Linked DNA regions of Nothobranchius furzeri. The protein of the gene in region 2 purifies or fractionates together with the protein of the main gene of each other region. This does not show direct contact. Links are inferred from orthologs where the notes say so. Each region holds a gene or a part of one and is shown on either strand. Other genes may lie near its edges. The genes, in order: nop56 and snu13b.

The links.
Region 1: the proteins of snu13b (region 2) and nop56 fractionate together in Homo sapiens (co-fractionation; 3 studies listed by BioGRID, with this or other methods). This does not show direct contact. The link is inferred for Nothobranchius furzeri from reciprocal best matches to the Homo sapiens genes SNU13 and NOP56.

What each region holds. Positions count from the first base shown.
Region 1 is NC_091743.1:55,550,638-55,555,189, reverse strand, and holds the start of nop56 (nucleolar protein 56), read right to left. Parts: upstream 3,078-4,552; 5' UTR 2,938-3,077; coding exon 2,935-2,937; intron 2,471-2,934; exon of another isoform or gene 2,349-2,470; coding exon 2,259-2,348; intron 2,185-2,258; coding exon 2,070-2,184; intron 1,835-2,069; coding exon 1,670-1,834; intron 1,431-1,669; coding exon 1,232-1,430; intron 882-1,231; coding exon 694-881; intron 646-693; exon of another isoform or gene 527-645; intron 455-526; coding exon 303-454; intron 105-302; coding exon 4-104; intron 1-3. UniProt on the Homo sapiens protein: Involved in the early to middle stages of 60S ribosomal subunit biogenesis. Required for the biogenesis of box C/D snoRNAs such U3, U8 and U14 snoRNAs. Part of the small subunit (SSU) processome, first precursor of the small eukaryotic ribosomal subunit.
Region 2 is NC_091756.1:29,118,676-29,123,265, reverse strand, and holds the start of snu13b (NHP2-like protein 1), read right to left. Parts: upstream 2,856-4,590; 5' UTR 2,678-2,855; coding exon 2,675-2,677; intron 2,513-2,674; coding exon 2,392-2,512; intron 1-2,391. Other genes in the region: uqcrc2b (cytochrome b-c1 complex subunit 2, mitochondrial), read left to right, coding at 3,574-3,606.

The DNA.
Region 1 (4,552 bases), on a different chromosome or scaffold from region 2:
TACCTGAACAGAGCCTTTTCTGCTCCCAGGATCTGAACCGTGGATGCAGGGTACTTGGCCAGGTTGGTTAAACTGCCGGCGTGAGAAATCAGCCGAGCTCCAACCTAAAAGCAAAAAAAAAAAAAAAAAAAGAAGTCAGGCAAGCACCACTGGCAGATCTACATTACCCTGCATGCCAGTTACACACATCAGGGACCATCAGCACCAGAAGAGTTTCTCAGCACATCAAATCAGTGGATTGACAGATTTAGGCATGACATCATTGGTCCACATAAAACTAGATTAAATAAACTTGTGCTCACCACTTCTCCGATTAAGGCCGCCAGGTTTGGTGCCACCTGGCTCATCTTGGAGCGCAGGTACTCCTGCAGCCCCAGCCGATAAGCAGCCAGAGAAACGACACGATTGGAAAACCTCTCAATGTTGATGAGGTCGATGGGAGAGATGTCCATACCTAAAATAGAAACAACCCGGAAGTGGTGAGCAGAAGGAAATTCATGATTCTGTTTGGTTATCTGAACCATGAGCTTGTTTCTCCCGACAGGATCCGCAGTGAGGGTTTGTGCCTTCACTACAGGTTTATGAGAGAGTTTCTTTACCCCCCTGTGTTAGACACCAAGGACATTTAGAGGTCCAGGTGGGCAAAAAAGGGGCACAAGTTAAAGCAGGAACACATTAGCACATGTTACTCACCCATTGAGGAGCGAGATGCATCCAGGATGGCCTGGGCCTTGGTGCTGTCCATCACCACTTCCTCCAGGCTCTCCAAACTCTCCTCAGACAGCTCCTTTCTGTTACCAATCAGCTGCGCCAGGCGACAGTACATGGAGTTTTCAGGGACAATCTTAATCAGCTCTGGAAAGTGGTAACCATACCACTCACTGGAAATAAAACCAAAACCCTTGTGTAAAAACAGGTGGTACAAGCTTAGGGTTTTTGGTGATTGTGACAAATCTCAATACAACCTGTCTCACCCAACAGTGTTGCCCTACTAGACTAAAGCTAGCACAGCACAAGCGTTAGGAGAGGTTCCTGTACCTCCTGTTTCTATACAGACAGCTCTCTGTGGTACGCTGCCTGTGGTAAGCATTAGGAGGAGTGCTCAAGAAAACATTTCACTTATGAAATTAAAGAAAAATGAGCTGAAACGCTCAGCAGAAACATTTCTTACAGATTCTAACCAGTATACCCCACATATGATCAAATATAAACCTTCAGATCAGAATCCTACCGGACACGCATAGAGAATGTGTTGATGTCTTTGTCGAGCTGATCCAACAGAGCGATGGACTGGATGATCATGTTGTCAGCCCTGTTGACGTTAAATTTGACTTTAGCTCTGGAGTAGCTGTGACCGAGACCCAGCTGTGCCTTGGATGCGGCCTGGGCAGTCAGACCCTTCACCAATGAGTGGAAGTGCAAACGCAGGCCTGTTTGAATCAGAGAAATGGCTAGGTGTGTTAGTTCGTACTGGGAGGGAATAGTGAAAGAATGCTGTTTTTTGATGGCTGTTCAGATTTTCAGTATGAGCCTTCATGAGCATCAGGATCACAAGATCACATCACAACAGCTTTGAAATGTTCAGAAGACGTGAAGTCAAAATCCATCTGTAAGTGACCTGATTGTTATGGCTTCTTAGATCGAGCCATTAATAAAACTTAATTCTCACCTCTTGTTATTTCAGCCACCACGCCACCAGTCTGGATGGAAATATTAAATTCTTCTTGAAGAGCAGCTCCAATTTTGGCATCAGAAACTCCCAAAACAGCCTTCTTTTTTGCTGATTGGGGTAGGTTTGTCTCCAAAAACAGCTTGAGATCTGCATGAACCACACCTACAAACAAATAATCATAATTACCATATAAATATTTTTAAGGTAATTTATTTAATCCACATAAACAGAAGTTGGGTTAACAACTGGAGGCTTAATCCAGACCACATGGAGATCCTCAGATGTTCAGAGTTCACATTAGGCTGTCATCATATTAACTCAGTGGATTGACAGATTATAACACATCATTACTACTGAGGATGATTTAATCTCAGTGAGACAAAAACTGAACACTAACCTTCAGAAATCGCGTTCATATTCTCCAAGGCTGTCTGGGCCGACTTAAAGGGGAAGAAGGCGGCCAGGTTCACTATGCTGTTGAACTTTGCGACGCTTAGCACGCTCTCCTCTACCTGTCAGACATAAACAGTGAGCGATCTCAGCTCCGGCAGGCGAGAATCTGGGGTTTGATAAATCCTGCACTCACCTGTGGCAGCAGCATTCCGATCTCCTCCACCTCTCTGACGGCGAACAGCGCGTAGCCCGCCGCGTGCTCGAACAACACACGGAGCACAACCTGCACAAGATAAATCAGAAACAGGGTTTGACACAACTTAAGGCGTCGGAGGGAAGCTTCCTGCTCGACGGAAGTGTTAACACTAGACTGCACGTGGTCACCAGGAGGCAGCCCTAATTTAGGTATGTTGCATTCAGCTTACTGTCCTGTGTTCACTTTACGTGTCCACTTTTAAAGTTCAACAAACTAACACAACTATTTACCCGTAACCACGTCGCCTTGAAGAACCCACGTGTTGACCCGGGCCCACGTGAGCGCGCTAATAACCTAGCGTGCTAACAGCCTAGCAAAAACGTGTTGCTTTTAGACAGTAAAATTCAGTTGCAATCCTCTTGAATACGACCAACTTATTCAGGTGTGTGATTTCTGTTCAAACATTTAACCGTGAAATATAATAATATTCCCACTAACGTCAACCAAAGACGGTTTCCTGCTCCTCTGATGCTAGCAGGCCTTCGACGTGACTTTAGTAACGCCTCTAAAACTAACAATGTCTTTTTAAAAGTTCACTAGTATAAAAGAGTAACTAACAGTAACGAAGAAAACTTTGGAGCAAGGTTTGGATAGTTAGATTACCGTTTCTTACCATGTTTGTTAAATCTCTGCAGCAGCACGCGCCGCGTGTCTGCTAGTTCTGCTTTACCTTTCGAGAAAGACGTTTCACTGAGCTGGAGCGTGCCCCAAGTACCGCGTTATCTTCCTATCACCGCGAGATCTGAAACTGCTGCAGACCTCACATCTGCAAAATCTGCTTATAATCAATCACACTGAAGTTTAATTGGCGTCTCAGGCTAATTAATATGGAAGCGTATGTGTTACAGAAATAATATTATGCAGTAGCAGAAATGATATTTCATTTTCATATTACCACTGCCAAATTTGACTCATAAATAAAATTAACAAGCAATCCTCTGCTTTTTAACTTTCTTCTTCATCATTGCTTATTCTGTGACTTAATGAAAAGAATAAAGAAAAACACATTTAAGATTTAATTTTTAAATAACACTCCAGCAAAAATGTAACAAAATTAAATTTGAAATGTCAAATTTGAAAATTAAACTGCATTAGAAGAAATGCTATTTCATATTCACAACACAACTGCATAGTGTGATTCACAATCAAAATGAAAAAGCATTTCTCAAAACTGCTTTTTAAGTTTCTTATTCATCATTGCTTATTCTATGACTTCATGAAAAATGATAAAGAAAAAGGCATTTGAGAACTAGTTTTCAAATAACACGCCAGCAAATGTGTAACAAAATTCAATTTGAAATGACAAATCTGAAAATGAAAATGCATTTGCAGAAATGCATTTTCATTTTCACTTTACAACTGCTTAGTGTGACTCACAATTAAAATGATATAGCAATCCTCTTTTCAACTTTCTTCTTCATCACTGCCCATTCTGTGACTCAATGAAAAGGATAAAGAAAGAGGAACTGGTTTGTCTTTTTCATGCCCGCCCTGCATTAAGTTCCATAATTCAAATTTTTTTTATTATTTTTTTTTATTTCTGCTTTTAAGATCTTACAAAAACATTCCTGAACATTTTGGATTAATATACAACGTTATTGACTAACAGCACGTACACATCAAACAATATAGCAAAAGAGAGAGAGAGAGAGAGAGAGAGAGAGAGAGAAGGAAAAGATATAAATAAAAATACAGAGAAGAAAAATAAACAAAACAATGCTCTGAATGGCTGAAGAACAACAAAATGAAGACTTTGGAGTGGCCTAGTCAAAGTCCTGACCTGAATCCGATTGAGATGCTACTACATGACCTTAAAAATGACAAGACGACAATGGCGGCGGCGGCAGTAGCACGCAGCGGCCACTCCGGAGCCAAATGGTGCAACGTTGTTTATGTTTGTGCATTGTGGTTTTTATTTTTTACTCCATGTATGAATATTGTATGATTCTACCTACATACTAAATAAGTTTACGGTTTTTCTTTTTTTCCTTTGTACTACCTACTTAGAGAGGACATGTCATGTTAGGTCAGTCTGTTCTGTCCTTAGATAGTGTGATCTCCCTGTTATTTTTATGTTGTAAATTTATGTTGCATGTAGCGCCTTGGTCCTGGAGGAACGTTGTTTCGCCTCACTGTGTACAAACCGTATATGGCTGAAGTCAAATTCAAAGTCATTTTATTGTCATTTCTACTACATGTGCAGGACATACAGAGAAACGAAATTGAGTTTC
Region 2 (4,590 bases):
AACTTTTGTGGACAAGATTTCTAGGCGCAGCCAAGGTGTGGAGGAGATCTGTTTTGGTGGCCGAAGGATTGAGTCTCCGTTTTTTGCAGATGATGTGGTCCTGTTAGTTTCATCAGAACGTGATGTCCAGCTTTCACTGGAGCAGTCTGCAGCAGAGTTTGAAGCAGCTGGGATAAGAATCAGCTCCTCTATGTCAGCGACCATGGTCTTGAGTCGGAAGAGGGTAGAATGCCTTCTCCGGGTCAGGGATGAGGTCCTCTCTCAAGTACAGGAGTTTAAGTGTCTCTGGGTCTTGTTCACGAGTGAGCATGAGGTCGACATGTGGATTGGTGATGCATCTGCAGTAGGGCTGGGCAATATGGCCTAAAATCAATATCACGATGAGGATTTCACCTCGATAACGATAAACGGACGATAACTACAGGAATGCGCAGAAACAAAAGTTGTCCACTAGATGGGGCTGTCACATGTTTTACATTGAGTCATACTTTTACGAGGTGGTACAGCTTCTTAAAGGGACATGAACGTTGACAACCTACACACATCTTGACATGGGAAAATTATCTCGATAAGTCAGAAAATTTGATAACGATACATTTTCGATTTATTGCCCAGCCCTAGTCTGCAGAGATGCGGACATTGTACCGTCTGCCATGGTGAGAAGAGAGCTGAGCCATAAGGCGAAGCTTTCGATTTACGTTCCTACCCTCACCTATGGTCACCAGCTTTGGGTATTGACCCAAAGAATGAGATTGTGGATACAAGCAGCCAAAATGAGTTTTTTCCACTAGGTGTCTGGGCTCTCCCTTAGAGATAGGGTGAGAAGCTTGGTCATACAGGAGGGGCTCGGAGTAGATCCGCTGCTCCTCCACATTGAGAGAAGCACGTCCAATTGGGAGGAGACTTATGCCCAGAACACACCAGCTGCGAAGAACCGCGGAGTGGATTGCTCACAAAATTTGTGCGCTCTCCGCTCCTCTTCTGGTCACATCAGGCGAGAATTTTCAACGAGCACTTCTGCTCACGCCTACTGTTTTCTAAACATGCCCTTGCTCTGTGTGTGTGTGTGTGTGTAACCAGTTTGCCTTGCTTGTTGATATTGGACACTGTGCTGATTCTGCTGCTGTGCATTTGTTTGTATTCACATTTATTAAATCCATCTTTTGCTGTAAACACTGAATTTTAAATTATGGTAACACTACGTTTTTCTGCAGGTGTGTGTTTGTTCCTTTTCATCTCTCTAGTCTATTTAGATACACAAACATGATCACTTTTATCAATTGCAGTGTTTTATTGTGAATTTTTTTTTTGTTAAATTTACCAGCCTGCCTCTTCTGCTTTAGTTTACTTCCTGCCAGAATTGTTCACTCACGGCTCACGTAAAAATAGAGCTCACGCCAAAATGATCGCTGCACGGAGCGAGCCTTTGTGGCGCTTCCCAGCTGATGTGACTGAGAGCATAGGTTAACAGGGACAAAGCGCCCGTCGTTCAACAGCGCTTCCTTGCTACTGTATTATCTGGGTGCCTCGCCTCTGACAGTGCACCCAGGGCAGCTGCGGCTACATCGTAGCTAATCACCATCAGTGTGTGAATGTGTGTGTTAATGGATGAATTACACACTGTAGAGTAAAGCGCTTTGGAGTCCTTACTCTGAGAGGCGCTACACAAGTGCGGGTCATTTATCATTATCATTTGAACTAGATTAGAACCAATTCCCTTTCAGCCAGACTAACGCGTTATATGCATTTTAAAAAACTACAGAAGTCTTTTTAGGGCAATACTTTGGTTCTCTAGTGTGCATGTTAAGGCACTGTATATGTCATGGCTGACCAGGGGAGACCTTGGGATTCTGCGGGAGGAGCTGGCCCAAGTGGCTGAGGAGAGGGAAGTATAAGCCTCTCGACGTAGACTGCAGCTGCCGTGACACGACCCCGGATAAACTGAAGAAAATAGATGGATTGGTCTTAATGCGCCATTCTAATTTTTGATAATGCAGCTGCCATCAGCCTCCAGTGAGGCAAGTGTACAGCGCTGCAGACACGCACATGTAAAGAAGAGCTTCCTGCTTCCTCTGCCGCAGGATAGGAACATCTGTCACATGTCGATGTAAAATTCAGATTTAAAGTATTACATATGAAAGGGACCCAGGTCTAACTTGATAATTATGACGAATATGTGTTGTGAACGTCATTAAAAGCAGATGTGGGTCATAAAAAGCAGAAGTGGGTCACATCTGAGAAAGAAATTCTGGTTCGACCATTGAGTCAGCAGTGAGAACACGGCCTATGATCCAATAATTACATGTAAAAGCAAAATTTTCACCTTCTACGTTTGTTTCGTTACAAATTCTGTTATAAATGTTGAGTAAAATAGCCGAATAGTTTCCACACCTTCGTTAGCTCCCTTCCTCAGCTGCTTGTAGTTGGAGGCTTGCTGCACCAGGTCCAGGATGGTTTTGGTCAGGGTGGCGTCGGCCAGAGGGTAGGCCTTTGGGTTCACTTGGGGCTCACTCTGGTCACAAAAATGAGAAGGTTCAAAATAAGCTTCAACAGAACAAACCAGCTTTAACAAAAATCACATTATCTTATTTTAAGAAAGCGCACAACCGTGTGTTCTTATTCATGCTACATGCAAGCCCGTCTGTTAGCCTATTAGCTCTTACACTAAGCTCACCATTTTTGTAATCCGGCCCTCTCGGCGAAATGCTTCACGGAGGACTATTTGATTTGTCTTCAGAATATAAATACAATCGAAACGTGAATTATTCTTGTTTCATTCGAGTTTTAATAGCGCCACAAAACGACTATTATCTGCAGCATGCACTAGATCCAAACGTTGACCCCACGTGTGTGATGGTCGTCAGGCTGCACATGCGCACAGGGAATGTAATTTTTTCAAAACAAACTTTATTAACAAACAACATGAACAAACTGAAAAATACTTTCTAAAGTTCAAATAAAGTTATTTTAAAACAGCTTTCGAGTGTGTATCATGGTGTGTATTGCTTTATGACACTGTAAATGTCGAGGGGATATCTTATAAACCTTTAATAAAAAAAACAAAAATATGAAAGAAGGTTTAGACTTTTTATCTTTGAACCCGTTTTCGTTTTAAACCTGAGGCGTTTGTGGGCTTTCATGAAGTCGTTTTTTTTTCTAAATTGTGGACTGTGACTATTAGTTGTGGGAAAATGCTTTATAAAGATGATGATGATGATGATGATGATGATGATGATGATGATGATGATGATGATGATGATGATGGAAAGTTAATTATAGAATTACTAATTATGTAAATGCAAAATATTAATCAGTGTCACGATCTAATCAGATTTAATTTGCCAATTATTTTCCACACACAATCAATTTGATTCATATTTCCCATTTGCTGTTCTCGAACTCTTTGTTTTTTGTGATTTTAGATCTGGAAAAATTGTTGATGCAGTTTATTTGTTGGTCTGAAGAGGGCGCGCGGTTTATGCAAGCTAGAGATGAACGCGCTATGCATTCTGGGTAGGGCACTTTCCATTCAGCCATATTGTATCGTTGTCCTGGCTGAAGGAGACAGGAGAGATGAAGGGGATTCGGGGAATCAGTCAGTTAACGGTGAGAGCTGACTTTATTTGTTCTGAAAGTTTGCGTGACGGGATCAGTGTTCCCATCCCATCCAGTCGCTGTCACTAACTGTCTTTGGGTGGTTTTAAACCATACCTGTCTTGTCTTGGAACAAGCAGCCGGCTAAGCTTGACATGACTGTTTAATCTGAAAACTTGATGTGACCAAGAATAACTATTTTTCTAGACATGTATGTATATGATCATGAATTAATCTCCACTGTGTTAGGCTCTAATGACTGACTCCTCAATTGTTTAAATGTAAGATAATTAACAACTAGCAGCTAGCTAGGCTAGTTAGCATACCAGAGGGTACGTAGTAGCTTTAGCATTTTTCAGAAGGCTTAACTCTAGGTGTGTGTATCTCACTCAAATACATATCTGGATCGGTGAATGAAGACTAAAATTATCAAGTGATTTTCATTTGGAAAGAAACCTTCAATCTTTGTACGACAAAAGCACATTTTAAAACATGCAATTAACAAAAAGGAAATCCCAACTGTTCATTCACTCGGGGACACACAAAACACACACTTATTCAGGGTGGGTTATCTCTCTTTAAAGTTGGTTCAATGTGAAATTAAAGATGGACAGTCATTGGTGCCTTAAAAGATTTACCAGCATCAGTGGCTGTCTCCTGATGTCCATCGTCTACTGGTTTGGATTATAATCTGGCAATGAGGAATCTGATAATGATAAATCTAAAGCGTGTTTTCTATAAACTGATTGTATTTCAACAGTAAATACAACTAGTTTTTGTACAATAACCCGTAAATATGTGATAAAGATGCAAATTAATTGTTTAGAGCAGTTATAGATTGTGAATTGTCATCAACATAAGGTGCTTTAAAACATTGAAATGTCACCTTGAAGATGCTTGCATTTGATTTTGGTAAATGTAGAGGAACCTTGGTCCTGTGTTTGTACAGTATAATATTACCCTTGAAGAGGTGAACACTCCTTGTTAAAACTCATT